Linked DNA regions of Drosophila melanogaster. The protein of the gene in region 4 interacts with the protein of the main gene of each other region in a pairwise test. Each region holds a gene or a part of one and is shown on either strand. Other genes may lie near its edges.

What was found.
Region 1: the proteins of mmd (region 4) and TwdlE interact in a two-hybrid assay, tested with the Drosophila melanogaster proteins (one large-scale study listed by BioGRID).
Region 2: the proteins of mmd (region 4) and CG42726 interact in a two-hybrid assay, tested with the Drosophila melanogaster proteins (one large-scale study listed by BioGRID).
Region 3: the proteins of mmd (region 4) and phu interact in a two-hybrid assay, tested with the Drosophila melanogaster proteins (one large-scale study listed by BioGRID).

The regions. Positions count from the first base shown.
Region 1 is NT_033779.5:7,857,407-7,862,824, forward strand, and holds TwdlE (TweedleE), read right to left. Parts: upstream 3,434-5,418; 5' UTR 3,295-3,433; coding exon 3,277-3,294; intron 3,196-3,276; coding exon 2,975-3,195; intron 2,715-2,974; exon of another isoform or gene 1,519-2,714; coding exon 1,164-1,518; 3' UTR 551-1,163; downstream 1-550.
Region 2 is NT_033777.3:15,346,472-15,350,897, reverse strand, and holds CG42726 (uncharacterized protein), read right to left. Parts: upstream 2,851-4,426; 5' UTR 2,780-2,850; coding exon 2,456-2,779; intron 2,397-2,455; coding exon 1,395-2,396; 3' UTR 1,196-1,394; coding exon of another isoform or gene 560-1,195; 3' UTR 507-559; downstream 1-506. Other genes in the region: Trs33 (TRAPP subunit 33), read left to right, coding at 1-46, 115-504; CG42727 (uncharacterized protein), read right to left, coding at 560-1,195; CG31301 (uncharacterized protein), read right to left, coding at 2,986-3,208, 3,273-3,434, 3,493-3,689, 3,746-4,104, 4,215-4,426.
Region 3 is NT_033777.3:9,492,956-9,497,245, reverse strand, and holds phu (phurba tashi), read right to left. Parts: upstream 2,446-4,290; 5' UTR 2,359-2,445; coding exon 2,304-2,358; intron 2,243-2,303; coding exon 657-2,242; 3' UTR 523-656; downstream 1-522.
Region 4 is NC_004354.4:15,970,021-15,974,839, forward strand, and holds the start of mmd (mind-meld), read right to left. Parts: upstream 3,048-4,819; 5' UTR 2,185-3,047; intron 1-2,184. Other genes in the region: Or13a (odorant receptor 13a), read left to right, coding at 4,405-4,757.

The DNA.
Region 1 (5,418 bases), on a different chromosome or scaffold from region 4:
ACTTAAGATGGAGGGTCAACTATCTGACCTACAGGAAGCATTGACTAGTATAACGACGTCGCTGAAGAATATGTCTGCGAAAATAAATATTTTACATAGGTTCAAGCGAATCGGATCGAGATATTTGCACATCGAAGACATAGTCCAACAAAATTGGACCAGTGCTTTGAGCGCATGTCAAAAGATGGGAGGTAATCTAGCCTCAATTATAAATGAAGCAGACTTTAATGCTATCGTTTCGCAACTAAGCAAAGACAACACTTATATGATTGGCATTAGTGATCTGGCTGAAAAGGGCGTTTTCATATCTGTGTCCTCCGGAAAGAGAGCACCTTTTTTGAAATGGAATCCTGGAGAGCCACTATACGAACATGTAGATCAGCGTTGCGTTTCTATACATAACGGTGGCATGTGGGTTGCTTCTTGTACTTCTGATTTCAAATACATTTGCGAGGCAAATGAAAATGTATAGTAAACAGATATATATAAATATATGTACACATATGTTAAGACTTGCAATGTGAAACATACAAAAAGAAATCCATCTTGTACAGATAATTCGTTAAACTTTTATTTAGCCATTGATGTTTTGTGTTTTTAACATTATATACTTGAGTATCATTTTAATCTTCATTTTTTTTTGTTGCATTTCGAGTGCTTCGCACATTCTATTTAATGACAAATCGTGTGCGAAATGTGCAATATGAAATTGGAATAAATTGCCTACTTGAAAATGCGTTTGTGATGAAAATCATGTACCACGTATATATCGTTAATCGGTATCAGGATCGATATCTCTATCGATAACTAAGGCTAGCTCGCAGTGAGTGTTTCGAGTGTTTTGTGTGAGTGTATAACGCATCGTTCGCTTAAAGACCTAGACTTAAGACTAAACAAACAATTTGAAACAAACAGCCTAGATGGAAAACATACTTCTCGTACATCAGGTAGAAACAACATCAGAGATAAGAATTACTCATCTATAGGAGTAATAATCCTATGAGCTGGGTGTGGAGAGGGGATGGGGGAGATTCGTTGCTTGGTAAACTTTGTCACGCGTTAAGGTCCTTGAAACAGAAAATAATACAATACACATAAGATATGCAGTTTGCCATGAGTTGGGTTGAGATAAGCAAATCGGTATTCGGGTTGGACTGGATCGCCTAGTGGGATGGTGCCCCATACGAGCTGCTGGGAGCAGAGGGTGCGGGCGGGGCAGCTGGAGCTCCGTACTCGGGCGCTGGAGGCGCCACACTGTTGGGATAGGGTCCGGTCTCCTCCTTCTGGGTCTTGTAGCGGATGAAGTACACCTCCGGCTTGCTGGGTTGGGTGGGAGCTGGCGTTGGGATAATGATCTCCGGCTGCTCCTCCGGCTTCTTGACTAGCACGTACACCAGGGTCTTCTCTTCGTTCTGTGGGAACTGCGGTATTACAGGGGCGGTCGGTACTGGTGGAGATGGCGCCTTGATGAAGACGATCTTGTAGTGCTTCTGCGGAGGTGGCACGTAAAGGGGTTTCCTGGGAAAATATTTAAAAATGTATTTAAATAAAGGTTCTGCTATATCTGTATTTAAGGAATTTCTTAGGAATTCTATGGGTAAAGTAAGACACCACATCCTCATATAACGCAACTTTTTTTGCTTCCGGCTTGTAAAAATTTACATACTGAATAAAAAAATTTCAATTACACACGGCCAGGCTGGAATGACTTTCCACACTTCCTATAACCTTGCCTTGTTGAACGAACAAATACCGCGATGCGGGAGAAAGGAGTTTCTCTTTGAGGTGCATGCAAATGGCATGCCCATAAATGGTGACCTCCCGAAAATGGTGACCTCCCGACAACGTTGAACCCACTGCAGCTGCTTGTCAGTTTTACTAATCAGATGAAGATGATGACTATTGTGACGATGACAGCGATTGTCACAACAACCGCCTCGAGACGAGGGTTTACATAAAGCTACCTATGGTAATCGAGTTCCTGTCCCTCTGCGCCTGATAATTTGCTTGGAAATGGTACTGAGATATATACGAGTACAAGTGCTGCGGCGAGCTTAGGTAACGTTTTAGTCACGGTTTGGCGGTCTGCAAAGCCATATCATTCCCCTCTCGTGGTAATTAACATCGCTTCCAACTCCAATTGAAAACAGACAGAAGACGACAGAAAACATTGTATCAGCGAAAAGAGAGGAAAGTTGGATGGCTTTCGTTTTCGCGGGTATTAAATAATGTTCCTCCTCCGTTTAAGCGACCCTCTAAATACCCTGGAAATGTGGCAACAGCTGTGGAAAAGGGCCCTGAGCTGGATTAGATGATTGCCGGCTGGTCTCTTGCAACATTTGTCTAGTTATTATCTTTGGGAGTTGACGGCACTGCCTGGTTTACGCCGATGAATTGTGAGAGAATCTGCATAAGTGCCTTGGATTATATACTCATAACACAACAATGTGTTTTTTCCCCATATTTTTCCAATCTTAAGTGGAACAAGACAAATAAAGCGAGATCGTTTGTAACCGCTCACAATCACGCAAGTCGAAAAAAAAGTGTGCTGGATAAGGGGTGTGAATAATTTGAACTGATTACGTTGTGAAATGAAAAAAACCGCAGGATGTACGTTTATATTGTACGGCTTATCAGAAGAAATTCTCGATTGTTCACTCACTCACTGTGTTGGGAGTGTAGTGCGATTTCTATTTTGTGAAACTATGCAAAATAAATAATTTTACTATTACTTAAACTCTTAAATACGTATCTTTTGTGATTAAACTGAATGTGTCTAAAATAACATTTTTAAAGATTTTTTCCATTTTTAGGTCTGATATAATTATCATCTAGTATAGACAAAAATTTTAAACGAGTATGCATAGATCCTTTTCCGGAACTTGGTTGAAGAATAGGTTTATTGGGAACCCTATTCTACTCGCGATCTTTGGAACTTATGTTGGCTTAGAGGATCCTTGATCCTGCCACTCACCTGGGTGCCTGGTATTCCGGCTCTGGTGGAGGTACATGGACGTAGACGTGCTTGTGAATCACCGGCGCCTGCTGGGGAGGTCCGTACTGGGGCGCAGGGGCGCCGTAGCCTCCGCTGGGTCCACTTGGCTGGTAGCTGCTGGAGGGGGGCGCACTGTACGAGTCACGAGGCGGCTCTGGACGAGCGGCCACCAGGGCAGCCAGGGCCATGAGGACCACTAACTGCGAACGAGATCGGAGGAGAACACACCATTAAGCGATGTCCATCACGGCCACTTGGTCGGTTTGGTCACAAGATCATACCACACAACTGGAATGCATTTTCGGGTGGCTTATTTCGGGTATATCCGTTTCGGGTTTTGTCACTGCTCCAGGTGGCTAGGTGCTACTGGCTGTTACTGGTTACTGGTTACTGGCAATGTGGTGCTGCTTCGACGCGGAACCTCTTACTGCATGCCACAACGATTGTTGCAGTTTCTTTTATAGCAGCGCAGCGCGTGAAATAAAAATTAAGTAAAATTCAAGACGACGATCAAGACCGCTGCTGCTTTAGCCGCCTCAGCTGCCTCAGCTGCTGCCGCAGTCGACCGAGCAGTCGGCCAAGTTGGCTGAGCAGTTGGCAAAGAGCGGCAGCAGCATGTAGCCATGAAGAAATTGAAATGTTTAAGCCAAGTCCAAAGTTTGGCCAGTCATGATCTGGTGGGGAAACTGAGGCTGCAGCTCCTGGCTGCGATGCAAACGGCGACCGCAAAGCCAACCGAAACTGCAACGTCTGCTGACCGTTTCTTGGCTTTGGCTTTCCTCCTTCGATTAACTACTTCTTTTTCGTGGTTTTTCGAGCATGTGGTTGGTTGTTTTTTTTTTTCTGTTTTTCTGCCCAACTAGGATTATTTTCATGGGGAAAATAAGGAACCTGAAAGGTGCAGTGTATGTATGTAAAATAAAGCTTGAGGCAGCAAGGCCATCAAATAGTTTTTTATGGTTTTTATTTCTGAAGACACTTAGCTGCTGGAATGTAGCTTATTTCAAGGGTCCATTATTTTCAAGGCAAGAAAATAAAAGCCTTTTTTGCGGTAACCTCAGCTTTAACGATTTCCTGCTTAATTTAAGAATATCTGAGAATATCTGTTCTCTTATTATTAATTTATCACGCCTTTTGTTCTTTTATCATTAAAAGAAAATGCCTCTCTTAGCTTAGATAGTTTAATTATTAAAGGCAAGTCATATTTTGTAATATTTAATTTATAAATATGTCTTGTGCATTTTTTTCCCTCGCCCATTTAAAACATTTGTATAGATTCGCTGTAGAGTACAACTCCTTCGAACTGATTGCCAAAGAAACATGGTTTTTCCTAAAATCTCTGATTTCTGTTATTTATATATAAATATATATATATATGTGCTTTATTATATATATGTAGCTAATGTGTGTAAATTGTTATTTTGGTCATTTAGAGGATCCAATCGCAGTGGACTCGTAACCAAGTCTGGACTCTGGATCGGATCGTGTGGCACGATTCACTTTCAATTTCAATGAATGTGGATTCACTCTCATTTAGCCAGCCGTTTTGGGGAATGGGTTGGTATAGTATGGTATGGTATGGTTTGGGATCAGATGGGATGGGGCTAAGCTTTGTTTTGTGCTCTGGAGTGGGACTGAATCTGGTGTTGGTTTTATTTCATTTCTTCATGCTCTTTCGGCCTTTTGTTAGCCAGCTTCTTTCGGTGTTTTGGGTTGTGTTGTGTGTTGGCTTGAGTTGACTTGGCCTGGCTTGTTGTTATTATTATTGTTACTGTTATTGTTATTGTTTTACTGGCTATGTTGCTTTTGTAATTGCTGTCCGCGTTTTGGACACGAAGCTTCATAATGAGCTTCACGCTCTTGTTGGGTCGACCCATCTGTACAGGCATTTTATTTAATTTTTCTCCTCTGGTTTTTTTGTTTTTGCAATATTTTGAATTTCTTCAATTTGTTTTTTTTTTTATCTCTGGCAAGTTTTAGTGTTGTTTTTGGGTTGCTTTTCTTATTTAATAATTTACGCCCCGGCCATGACAATTAGCGTTAGAGAAGAGTGATGGATAAAATTATGATTGGCAAAATGTTTTGCAACTTTTCCATGGCTCATAGCCCCCAAAGTAATAGCTAGCTTTTTTCCTGATTTATGCACATAATCTATAAATGGCAATCAGCATTTTTGCATCGGTTGCAAGCGATCCTTGGCCGCATTTTGGGGCCACTCCTGCACAATCGCTGCCGGAATTTTGCTTTATGAAATGGCATAATCAGTGACGACCAGTGGCGCCAAACGGAGGACGACACCGTAAACCGTAGACCCAGGCACCGAGTAAGATACCCAGCAGCAGTATTGCAACTGCAACTTGCAACAGTTGGAGAGACTCAACTGGAGGAGAGTCACAGAGACAGAGACTGTCACTTTTCCTCTA
Region 2 (4,426 bases), on a different chromosome or scaffold from region 4:
TTGCCTCCATGCAGAGATAGTCAATTATTGTCTGGATAGCAATAAGGTAGGAACACGAGGGACGCAAAAAAAAATCAGTCATACAACCGATTTTGATTTGGTTCCGCCTATTAGGAGCACGACCTGGCCACTTTGGAGTATATAGGCTTCACCACCGGCTACCGCCTGATTGAGCGGCTCACCCGTGAAGTTTCGCGTTTTAAGGACGAGTTGGAGACTATGAAGTTTATATGCACCGACTTCTGGATGCTTATATACAAGAAGCAAGTGGACAACCTGAGGACGAACAACCACGGAATGTACGTTGTGCAGGACAAGGCTTTCCGCTTTCTGACTCGCATCTCGCCGGGCACCAAGCAGCTGGAGCACGCGCCCAAGTTCGTGGCCTTCACGTGCGGGCTGGTGCGAGGAGCTCTCAGCAATCTAGGCATTAACAGCACCGTGACGGCCGAAGTGCAAAGCATACCCGCCTGCAAGTTTCACATAGAAGTGAACAGGAACTAATTAGGATGTAAGGCAATGGTTTATTACTACAATTATAGAGATACTACAGACTAGACTAGGCTATCTTTTCGTAGAATGCCACAATGTTGTGGTCAGTCCAGTTAAGGCGTTCTCGCAGGATCCACTGGTCGATGGGCAGTTGGGGCTGGGCGGGATTGGGATCTGTGTGGATTCCCAGGGCGGGCAATGGTCCAATCAATATAAGCCACTTTCCTTGATACACATTTAGATAGTCCAGAAAAGCTCCTCGATTGTTGAAGTAGCAGAAGAGCAAGGCACACGGATGAACGTCACTGCAGCATTTGGTCAATAAATCCGTATCCAGTTGGCTGGCATCCTCTAAATAGTTAAGCGGTATAAAACTTCGAACGGAGTACTTGCTCTGCCACCAGTTGCGATCGACCTCCAAGCCAAACATGGGGACTTTCCGACCTCCAGACACTGTCATAAGCCATTCCAAAAGCCCACTGCCGCAGCCGATGCTCAAAACTCGCTGGATGTCGTGCATGGCTAGCAGCTGATTAAAGTAGTCCAAGTCCACCGATGTCGGCCACATCCAGAGCAGCTTGCGCTTGAGCTGTTGGTCCAGGCAGTCGCCCAGGACAAGCAACTTGCGCCAGTTGCACGACGCATCATCAGTTAGGTAATAAATTTCACGCAGTGTCTCGAGTTCCGATTGCTCGTCCATCATATTGAATACTGTTAGTTGCAAATTAAGCGGTCTTGCTGCTTCCGATGGCCGGTGAACTTGGCAGTGACGCCGGCACGCGGAAATATGGCTAGCGGCCAACAAGATTGCTGCGGTTCGCTTCGGTTCGCAGCACCTGACTGATCTCTAATAAATTAGAGGACCCCTTTGAAAAAGGGCCAACTCATTAGAGATCATATCGTCACTTTGTGTTTTCTTCTTTTTGGTACCAATATTTGAAATTCTTGCGCCAGTGCATCTCGCTAAATTTGGAGCTACCTTGCCCCGGGACACGCGGCTGGTGATGTTGCATGGCTGGTTCTTGGGCATCGGGGCTAGGTTCGCTAGAGTATTCCTCGTTGTCCAGATCCAAGATGATCTTGCGATACAGCTGGACATTCTCCTCTGGCATTACATCTGGCAGAGGCAGATGCTCTGGGACAGCTTTCCCTTTCTCCATCTGCAGTTCAGGGAGTTGAGATGGCAGTGGCGTAGATTGCAGCAACATCACTGGCTCAACGTTGCCCACACTCTGGATCACACTGTTGTATCTTACAGTCTGAGATGGTCTTTCTTCCGCCGTCGTGGCCTCCTGAGCACTGGACCTCGGTGTAACCATTTCAACAGTACTGGCAAACGCACAACCAGGGTGCATGGATCGCAGATGTCGCAGCATGTTGTCCTTTCGGTTGATAGTGATGTCACATTGGATACAGCGGTAGCGTTCGGCAGTCTTGTGTTGTCTTAAATGTCGGCCCAGAGCATCCGGATCATTGTAGCTTTTGCCGCACAGGGAACAGGACTGACGTTCGCGATTTGAGTGGCGCTTCATGTGCAGCCGAAGCGTGGTTTGTCGCAGAAAGGACTTCTGGCACACTTTACACATGTGCCGAATATTGTTCTTGTCGTGTTTCCGCAGATGCTGGTTCAAATTGGCCTTGTTCTGGAAATGCTTAGAGCAGAGCTCGCATTTAAATTGCAGGCCGAGATCGCTGTGGATCGCCAGGTGGCTGGCAAGAGAGCTCTTGCGGCGGAAAACCTTCTGGCAGATTGGGCACAAATGCTTCTCCTGGTTGTGGGTAAGCATGTGGCGCTGTAGAACAATTGGTTGCTTGAAACTTTTGTGGCAGACGCTGCACGAGTGTTTTGATTGTTTCTCATGGCTCATTAGATGGTACTTTAAATGTGAACTGGTAGCAAATCTCTGGAAGGAAATCTCAGTCATGAAAACTACACACAGCATAAGTACATGCTGCAACTCACGCGTCCGCACTCCTTGCAGTTGAACTTCTTGAGAAGATCGTTGCCGCAGGTGAGGTGGTAATACTGCTGGGTCCGGCTGCGAAAATCCTTATTGCAGACGGTACAGTGGTAGCCCTTATCTGTGACAATTATTCGCTTATCAGCCGACGTCCTTGCTTGCGTTTCCTGTGTCTCCTGGATATCGACACTTCGTGCAACTCGACATTCCAGGCAATCCGATACATCCGCCACCAGGCAGAGACGACACTTGGTGTGTCCACAGCTGTCGGTGACGAGGCGATTCTGTCCTGTAGCATCGCAGTTGCAGCGAGGACATTTATTCATTGCTAAATTCTAAATGCATTGAAATCGCACATACAGGAGACTAAAATTGCAGCTATGCTTCTTCTTTCTCGCAGCCATTCAGCACGAAACGTAAACAAAGTACACGGTCAGAAATACTTTTCATATATTTTACATCCTTTATATTAAAACTAAGAATAAAGATCTTTTTATAAGAGTACTATGAGCTGAGATTTTGTTCGTCCTGCCTATTCACATACATCGTTCATCTCCAGGTCGGCCACATGACCAGGAAACAGGTGCGCCTTCTGCATGGGTACGTGCACAAAGTAACGATCACAAAACTTGGGGTTCCGCCGAAGCAGGACCTCAGTCAGTATTGTGCCATAGTCGATCTTCTTGGTAATCAAAAGGCGCCGGCTCTCTCCACTCCCATAGCTAGCGGAACGCAAGCCAAATTGTCTGGCGATTCTGTAAAGGGAAATGCCAACATAATAAGCAATTATTTTTTACGATGTGGGATGACGGTGCTTACTGGTGAAGCGTGGTTCTTTCTTCCTTCGAAAACGTGGGCTCAAACTGCATGTCACGTATATCGTCCGATCTCACATAGTTTTCTATAAGCCGTCGGTAATCAGCGAAATTTCCCTTTGGATTTATTAATCCAAGACCATTACGATTGTTCTTTAGCAGATAACTGAAAATATAAAATAAAATAGTTTCGTTTGGTGATACGTTAAAAGTCGAACTCTTACCATACGGGCTCTTCACGTCCCTGCTTCAGTCGCCCTAAGCCACCGCCTGTCCAGCCCATCAGTCGCATCATGCGATATCCCTTGTTGCTGGGGTCCAATTTGGGATCGCACGGACTGTCGGCGGACTCATTGGTGACTTTGATGTTGACGCCGTCCTTGTTTTTTTCCACCTTGATGGTGTCGCGCGTGGCATTCAGCTGTGTAGCGTAGTACCGGGTTTAATAAGGCATACATTATTTCAGAAATTTCATACCTTAATACTATAGCAATAGGACTGGATCGTCAAATGCGCCTGCTTATAGGCAGCTTTCTTGGCCGCCTTAAGGCTCTCCCCCTGTCCTGTCGCTATTACCTCATCATTTACTAATAATTCGGCGTATTTTGTATTATCGCTTAATGGCTGATCTCGGCTGACACGCTCTTCGTACTTGACATTCGCAATGTTGCAGGAGTTTTGCAGGCAGGCTCGTCCCCCAGCCAAGTACACAATGAGCCGACCGAAACGCAGATCTTGATAGAGATCGACTGGATCTCCGCCGCCAAAACACTGGCGTTTTATGTGTGAGCTATCCTCTGGGGAGCTCGTCGAGGGAAGGGGTGGAGCCCGGCGCCCTAGTAGTTGGAATTAGGCATTAGGCTTTGGTCTCTCTGGCTCGTATAGTTACTAGTGATAAAAAGAATCTTCTCTCGCCTATGGGCCCACTAATTGTTCAGTCGTCTACCTTTGGCGCGCTGCTCCGCCGCATCCGACGCCGAGACAAATGTTCTCTTCAGGCGCTGTTCCCGTTTCTGACGGAAATCCGCTGCGATTTCCTTGGACAACTCGGCCACCAAAAGCATCGTCGCGCTTGGATACTTGCAGCCCATGAACTCCATGTTGACGAACGTTTGGGCCAGGCACACCAGCCGGTCCTCCTCAAAACGATCCTTGTGG
Region 3 (4,290 bases), on a different chromosome or scaffold from region 4:
GCAGCCAGAAGGCATTAATTGTAAAAAGATAAATAAAAACAGCACAAAATGAAAATGATATACACTTATACATATTAAAATATAATTTAAATCTGATATGTCCAGCAATTAGCCCCATGTATATTTCAATAAAACCCTAGTCATTAATGTTGTCTGTCCCTTTTATATTCGAAAACATTTTAATTTTATTTCAAATTTGGCGCCAAGTCGTCTGTTAGTTTTAAAATAATTTAACATTTTAGTGTTGGCAACAGTACGCTGTTAGATTTAGTAAAGACAAAAACCACAGTTAGTGCGGATGCAAGCAGTCACATGTTGATATTAGCCAACACTGAAAAGGAAACAAAATTTAAGCAGTTGACACATGTCAATCGATAACCTCCCCGCGTAAAATCGACATTTTGCTATCAAATTCTAAAGTGCAAAAAAGAATCGACATTATAAGATAACCACGGGAACGGACTCTTATCTGCAAATAAATGTCGTATAATATTGGCACAAATAGTAATCGATGCTTTTTTTAGATTTCAATTATTTATTTTAGTATCCCCCTTAAACGATTGCTTATCTTCTAGTGGCTTCTCTCTTAAACGAGAATAATACGTTTGTCGCTTAGACTCATTGTGCTTCACTTAACCTTTGATCCCCGCCAAGTTTCAGCGTGGTCTCCGTGCCACGCCCCCATCCACGCACATGTTACGATCACTGAGGCAAGAGGCGTAACCAAGGGCGTGAGGTATGAAATGCTGCTCGAAAACTCCGGTGAAAAGCTGGGCATACGGTCCACTAGCAAAAACGGCCACATCATCGCCACCGTGCGTTTCCGATTCCAAGGGAACTGTGCTGGGGAACATGAAGTCCTTGTTCTTCATATTGATGGCTCTCAGATTTTTCCTCCGCACAGCGCCGCCTTCCCTGAGGTAGTTACTATCATAGCCCGGTCCATTGGCATAGCTCAGAGTGGCATATGGAAGATCATCCGCCGCCAGCTGTCCGTCATTGATGCCGAAGATATCGTTCTTTCTGCTGGAATAGCCCGCCAGCGACATGGTGTGCGAGTGATCCGAACTGACCACTATTAAAGTGTCGTCCGTACTCGTGTGACTCCTGGCAAATCGCACCGCTTTGTCGAACTCCGCCGTTTCATCGATGGCCCTCAAAGCCAAGGTGTCGTGGTGACCATGATCGATCCGACCGCCCTCCACGAAAAGGAAGTAACCGCGTCCGGCACTCTGGCGCTCCAAGATTTCCATGGCCGACTGGACCATCTCCTCCAGCGTTGGTTGCTCTGCTGGACTAGCATCCAGATGGTAGGCCATGTGGTAGGGGGCAAACAAGCCCAGTACTCGTGAAGTGTGATTGGATAGGTTGAGCAGCTCCCTGCGATTCTCCACATATTGAGCACTGTTCGTGTGCTGGTTCTTCCACTCGTCGATGAGATTGCGGCCATCCAAACGGCGACCAGGCGCTCCACTGGAATCAGTCACGCCTTTGGGCAGGAAATTCTCGCGACCTCCGCCCATTATCACATTAAGTTTCTGACCCACCGGACTGTTTATCAGCTGGGCAGCTGCGTCCGGACACAGATCGGGGTCACCATTGTCTCCCACCACTTCGGCGTCGTTCTCCCAGTTCCGGTTGGCCAGGTGGGCGTACACTCCAGCTGGTGAGGCATGTGTTACGGAGGTTGTGGTAACCAGTCCGGTGGCCATTCCCTGCTTCTGCGCCCAGGCCGCAATGGAGGAGACATGGTGGGCGGCTTGTGCCTGCGCCTGGCAATCCTTGAACTGCACCGCTGCACTTACTCCGATCGTGCCATAGTTGGCCTTGACACCACCCAAATAGGCGGTGGCGGTGCAGGCGGAGTCGGCCACCTGCATATTGGCACAGTAGGTCTTGCTGAGACCCACATACGGGAATTGCTCGAAGGCGAACTGCTTCTCCTCGCCGCCCAAGTAAACGCGACCCGCCGTGATTGTCGGTATGGACATGCCGTCGCCAATGAAGAGCATCACATTCCTGGCCAGCTGGGTGTTCAATCGCAGCTTACTCTCCAGCTGCTGATCCAGTGTTTGGGCCGCCAAACCCTGCCAGTACTCGGCGTACCGCTCCTCTGATCTTACGGCATCAAAAACGATCTGGGGCATGGCTCGCTTGTATCGACCTCCTCCGATTGGATTCGATCCGGTTCCCATAAGCGAGAACACCGGATGCATTCGCCTCTCGGCATCGTGTGAGGATTCTGCAGGTACAGTTGGGTTGGTATTTAGTATTTACTCAGATCTACCTATATAAGAACTTGCCTCCTCCACTGACTAGAACACTCAGGCCGAGAAAAAAGAAGAGCTGCAGCCTCATTTTTCTATACTTTCTTCTGAGTTTTAGAGTTTCTCAGTTTACGAGCTGGCTGTACGCTGCCCAGCACGTTTCCTCCGCCACTGATAGTCGTTAGCACGAGACCTGCGATATTTATAGCGATCGGTTGGGAGGTTCAAGATTTCATAATGCCTTTGCCGCCATCGACCTGATCGCCGGTTGATATGGAAAAGAGTATCGCTGCCTTGGGTTCACTGCGGTTTTGTTTTGAAAACACGGAACAGTGCGCAGTGGAACCTCCTTAAAAAGGTACTTTAGGGCAAATATACAACTGTTATTAAATTCAATTTATTTAACAAGATATACGTCTCTACTATTTTGAATCAAATTTGTTATGAAAGTACTAACCATTTAAGTCTGGAATAAAAAGCAGCTTTGAAATTGGCAATAAATCTTCTGACTAGAACATAATTAGTATAATTTAACGTTCACTTTGTTGTTTAGACTGAAGTTTTGAAGGATAATATTTGCTTCTTTGATGGATTTCGGGTTTTCTTTAGGTCCATATATGCATGATGGCTTACCTTTTTTTTTGTGCACCATAAATCTAGGTCTCTGTGTCAGCGAGTGCCTACTGTAGATGTTATTTGAAGACTGTAGTTTTTGAGCGGCACTCGTTATCAGCGACCGCCGGCGTTGTCTGCCTGCCAGGCCACCCGATACCCCGCCCGCGCGTTCCGCTCGTTTCGCCTGCCTGGCCTGCCGCATCCGCCTGCCTCCTGCTCTTGGAACACGCGAGTGCTTCACGTGATCACTGATTAGAGTGGCTGCGGCTGTGCCTGTTTTCTATTTCGGGCTTCCAGTTAAGTCATAAACGCGGGCTAATTACCCCGCCAGCGAAGATGCTCAACCAGATGCTGAGAAAATCGTTTCAAAATGCGCGCCAAGTGCCGCTGTGACTGTCTGTCCGCCGGATTGAATCTGGCAATTCCGGCGGAGTGGAGATGGCGCAAGCGCCAGCATCAAAACAATGAGCAGGAGTCTTTGGATTGTATCTGCATCTCGCTTGCGCCCACCGTCGGATGTATCTTGCAGTACGAAAGGCCTGAGAGCAAGAGTATCTGAGAGAGCGTATCGCAGAGTATCTCAGAAAGCATCCGTCCATCGGCATCCATCGGTTTTTGGGATGCTGAGCGAGAGCTTCTGCTTTGGCAGCGCGCACTTGGCCAAAATAGTTGTTGGTTCGCATGCAAAACGTTAAAATCGCATTAGCTGAAAAACATTTTTATACCAACGGCGCGTTTTTAATTTTTTCTACACTACAACAACACGAAAAATATATAAAATAAACTAGACAAAGTAGATGGCGAAAAGTAAAAACCAAACCCCGAAAAAAAGCAACAACGAGTAAAACTAAACTTTTAATGTTCAACAGAAATTCATTGCGTATACATAAGTATAAATAAATAAACGCGTGTATATAGAGAAATACATATAATAAATGATAATTCAATAATTTTCAAACAACAAAAAGGTTCGAGCAACGTTCAGTGAATAAAGGCATAAACATAAGTGCTGGTGAAAATCAGGGAAAAAGGGGAAACCAGAAGTGAATGGCATTGATTTTTTTTTTTAAATAGTTGACAGTAACCTAAAGTTGCAAAGTTGTAGGATTCTTGTGCATTCGTGTGTATAACTGTATGAAGTGCAAGGACTGTTGGGATTCTCGATGCGTTTCCTTTTCTTTTTGGGATCAGCAGGCAGAAATATACAAAATGTAATGGTACACGGGAAAATTCATACATAATACAATACAGTAAGTTGCTAACTGTGTTTCGGGCCCCTAAAAGTCGTGTTCGTGCGTTTGTGTTCGTCGGGATTATGTGACTCCTGCGTATACATATCTACAGTGTCGATGGGTAGGGATATATACATATATATATATATATATCTCCATTTGTATATACCGTTAAC
Region 4 (4,819 bases):
TATCCTGTTAATCTATTCTCCGGATGGCCACATATTTCCCTCGCTGTCGTGGGCGTCCACGGCCGAAACGGACTCAGAATCAGTCTCAGATTCAGTCTCAGATTCAGTCTCAGATTCAGATTCAAATTCAGAAACAGAATGCGAAACAGAAACCTTGGGCAGACACACCAGACAGCGGCAGCTGACAGGAAAATAAATAAATAAAGGGATGAAAATTAAGGACGCGAGAGTCGTGGTCGTCGGCTGGCTGGCTGACTGGCTGGCTGGCTGGCTCTCCAAAGACCGAATGCGCAGCCTCCGACTAGACGGCATTCCAAAGATGGGAACTGCAGACATGTGTGCGGATGTGGATCTGTGGGCCAATAAAATGAGTTATTCCTCTTGCCAGCCACACAATTTTTTGTCTGCTGACTAATGATTGCACTCATTGTGCAACTTTGCCAATTAAAACTTGATTAAAACTATTCCCGATCAAATGGAGTAACAACAGCACGGAAAGCTGAAGCTCCATCGTATAGTGTTTCCCAATTTATTCGTTTTGACAAAACTTTCATTATTATGTTTCTCAAAAAGTTGGCTCACTCCATGATACCGACAAGTTTTTTTGGCAGTATCTGACTCACTAGCATTGGGCAGCATTTTGTAGTTTTACACACGCAGAAAAGATTTACTCATACAAAGCCGCGTTTTGTAAATGATTTCAACTGTTGTGAATTCTGAATATCCTGACTATTTATTGAACAGGCAACAAGTCAAGCCTTGATTGATTATATCAAATCGTAGGTCATGGCTTCTAATCTGGTGCAGAGCCATAAGTTTGCCACTCGAAGAAAAATTCAAGGATTCCGGAAACTAATCAAATACCAAATGTTTGTTAACAGGATATGAAAAAATAATGTTTTCCCTAGCATAACCAGTTTTAAAAGATTTTTTTCAGTCCGTTAAATGTATGCAAAGAAAACTGTATTGTATTCAAACCATTCATCTTTAGTTTCCCTCACAAGTTCATTCCTTTTTCTTCGTGTGTATAGCAGCATTGTTATTTGACCTAATCTGTGTCTTTGCCCCATTGTTTTGCCGCGTTTTGATTTGTGCCCCCAATAAGTCCATCTGGAGTCAATGTGCTACCAAACGATAGGGAAGTTCGAGCTTCGAAGGATGCGTGGTGGTAGGTAGGGCGATCTAATCGCGGAGCTCTTCTCCTTTATGGATCAGCAAACATTTGGGCGTTGTCACACTCGCGAATGCGGAATTCCGACACCATTTCTTTGATTGATAAACAAATTGCCCGCTGCTTGTTTACTTTACTGCCAGCGCAGATTTCTCACGAGTTAACCAACCATTAAACGAGAACTCACAAACTCAAGGACTCAGCAGGGGGAATCATCCTGGAATCACTTTGCCATCATCTCAAATCCGGTTACGTGTTTCGTTTGGCTGGCATGGGATTATGCGGTGGATTTAATTGTTTAAAAACAATCGAAAGCACTGGGGCACGTTGAGATTTGAATTGCCGTGCACAACTGCGGGTGGTTAGATGGGTCAATGGCAACGCATGCCCAGACCCCCAAATAATTGTGAACAAATGTGTCTTCAGTTGGCGTTGGTGGAGGAGCGCACCATTGCAAGCGACGCTGAAAAAGGCGATGATGTCCTGACACACTTCGAATTGCCAGAGTCCTTTTGCCAAAAAAAAAAAAAAAAAAAAAATTCCAAATTCCTTCGCATGCCAATGGAGCGGCATGGACAGAGAAGGGATGACGAGATGGAGAGACGGTGAGACGTCGAGATGGAGAGAGGATATCCAGATATGCATTGGAATACAAAGTGTGGGATAAAAGCATTTCTGTATCGCTATTATTCATTGGTCATGCGCAGTCAGCCGCGCCTCATTTCCGCTCGAGAGTCGGGAGTTGGACCATATTCGCAATAATAGTAAGTATGTTGGGCATGTGGTGTGTGTTTTGGACCAAGTATACATTTTCCCCTCCCCCGTATAATTACGGCCATAAAGCAATCCAACTATCCAGCTAGCCAAACTATTTCAGTTCCATCTGCCAGAGTTTGGAATCCTTGAGGCCATGTACATATACCGAAATATACTATATATATATATATATATGCATGGGATGTGTAGCGATTTTTGATAGATATAAAATACATAAACGTAATTGCGGTACTCACCAATGGAAATTCGGGAAATTCGAAAAAAATCAAAACCAGAATCCATTGAAACAGTAGTTGGAGAGTAGTTATGAATTATTTGTTATCCGTTTTGCGTTTAAGTTTGCTTTTAAGTTTACATTGTACTGCTTTATGAACACACTCAGTTTGTTATTTTGGCCAAACAGTAAAAAAAATATGCAAAAAATTTTCATAAAATATGTATTTTATGATCTTTTCATCCTTACGCCATCAGCATATACATATACACGCATATATGTGCACATATATAGACATATATATATATTTATTCTATTTTTGTATTTTCCATATTTGATTTGAATGTGCTGATTTAGTAGCCGATTTTAGAGCTGCGTTGCGTTGCGTTTCGTTACGTTACTATATCAAACATTTGATTCTGAGTAGTTATTTGTTGGGTTTTCACATTTTGCCCACCCGTTCGGCATTTCGTTTTTCCTCTTTTCTTTTACTTTTTTCCATATATATATATATATACATATATATATACGCGTATGTATATATATATATTCTAAGTTCACGGTGTGTTGGGATTTGAAAACGAATTTCTTTGTTAATATATATATATATATATATATATATGTATATACTTTTGCCTGGGCTGGTTGTTCAGTTGTGTTTCTGGGGTATTTGTTGGATCTTTTTGGGCGCCGACTCGGGGATTATTCCTCAATAAACTATTGCTCCGCTGGCTGCGAACTATACGGCTATTTCCTGCATCTGCACTCTTTTCTGCTGCTTTCGTATTTCGTTTTGTTTGTTTGTTTGTTTTTTTTTTTTTTTGGTTTTTGTATGTTTTTTGTGTTTTTTGTATTAATTTATTTTATTTTTTTATTGCTGCTGCTGCTTCTTCTATTAAAAACTATCGCCGTGTCTCGTGCCTCGCTAACCGCTTTCCGCAATTGCAAACAACGTTCTAAAGCTCTCGAACACGTCTGCAGGATTTTGGCCAGGCGAAAAACGATTGCCTCCAACCGGAGGCAAACCAGGCAGCCAACCCAGTCGACCAGCCATTCTTCAGTCAGCCAAATACGACGCAGTCGCAGAGCACCGGAATCTCAACTGGGAGATTCCCAATCCCGGCCATCCCATCCCATACCAATATATCTCAAACCAAGCCCAGCCGAGTGGCCACATCTCTCGCTCTCCGCTTCTATTGTCACGTCACAATTCAGCATCTTGGCTCTCTCGGGCTGTGTGGGCCACATCCTTTTGGTCCTCGGATGGATGTTGGTTGGTGTTCGGCACTCAGCCGCTGGCTCTCTCGCCGAAAGTCGGTAAAAAAAAAATCCACTCCTTGGCCCCAACGAGTCTTACAATCCGGGTACGTCTGTTTATGTCCGTTATGTGGAGCAAAAGGGTATATTGTATTCGTGCAAAGGTGCGTAATTGTAAAAGGAAGTGTAGTATACACCTACGCCTCTACATACGTTTCCATCTAGCCGTGTCTGTCTGTCTCTCTGTATCTCTGTCTGGCTGCCTGTCTATCTGGCCGTCGAGATCTTGGCCAGAACAATGGACAGAGAACTGGGTCCACACTGTTCCACGCCACAGATTGGCCACGCCCCCGTCGTCTAATTGAATGAAGCTATATCCTTCTTACGCCCAGCTAGCAGTGACCTGATTTAAATTAACTGGTTTCGAAATGAAGTTTGGGCGAATGAAAGCCTAAAAATAAATACAGACCGCATTGTTAGCCAACATACATAAATGGAAAATCATGGAAAATTACAATGAAATAATATGTATAAGAAATTGAAAAAAAAATATATATATATCTAAAAGTGTTACGGATTTCAGGCGCAGGTTGCATGTTTATACTTTTAGTTTTGCTTTTTAATTTGAATATATTAAATTGAAAACAAAATTGAAATATGTGCACCTGTTTACCTGTTTATTTTTCGAGAGCAAAACGCACTTTGTTCTTCAAAATAAAGCAAAATTAAAATACACACAAGTAGTATAGTTTAATGGATTTCACAGGCACACACCTCCTTGGAAAATGCGTTTGATCAAAATTTCATATTCGGCACTTAATGAGGTGGTAAGTATATGCCTTGTGTGCAAACGCTTTCTAAAATATTTACTGTGCAATTAGGGTAAATGATTAAAAAAGTGGTAATTTTAGGGCGCAGTTGGTAAGCTATAAATGAAAGAAATGCCTTAAGATGTACCTAGTGCTGTGGCATTTATCAGATAGTCATGTTCTATTCGTATCCCTACAAAGCACTTAGCTTTCCCATTCAGTGCGTTTGGCTGAAACTGAATGGTTCTTGGCCATTAACCGAATCATCGAGGCCATGGAGGAGCCAATCCTTATTGGCCACCGCCTACATCGTGTGGGCGTGGTACGTCATTGCATCTGTGGGCATAACAATCAGCTATCAGACGGCCTTTTTGCTGAACAACCTTTCGGACATTATTATCACCACGGAAAATTGTTGCACCACCTTTATGGGTGTCCTGAACTTTGTCCGACTCATCCATCTTCGCCTCAATCAGAGGAAATTCCGCCAGCTTATTGAGAACTTTTCCTACGAAATTTGGATACCTAAGTGAGTCGATTCATTAGGGTTATTATAAGCGATGTTAAATGATCATCGCATTAAACTGCAGA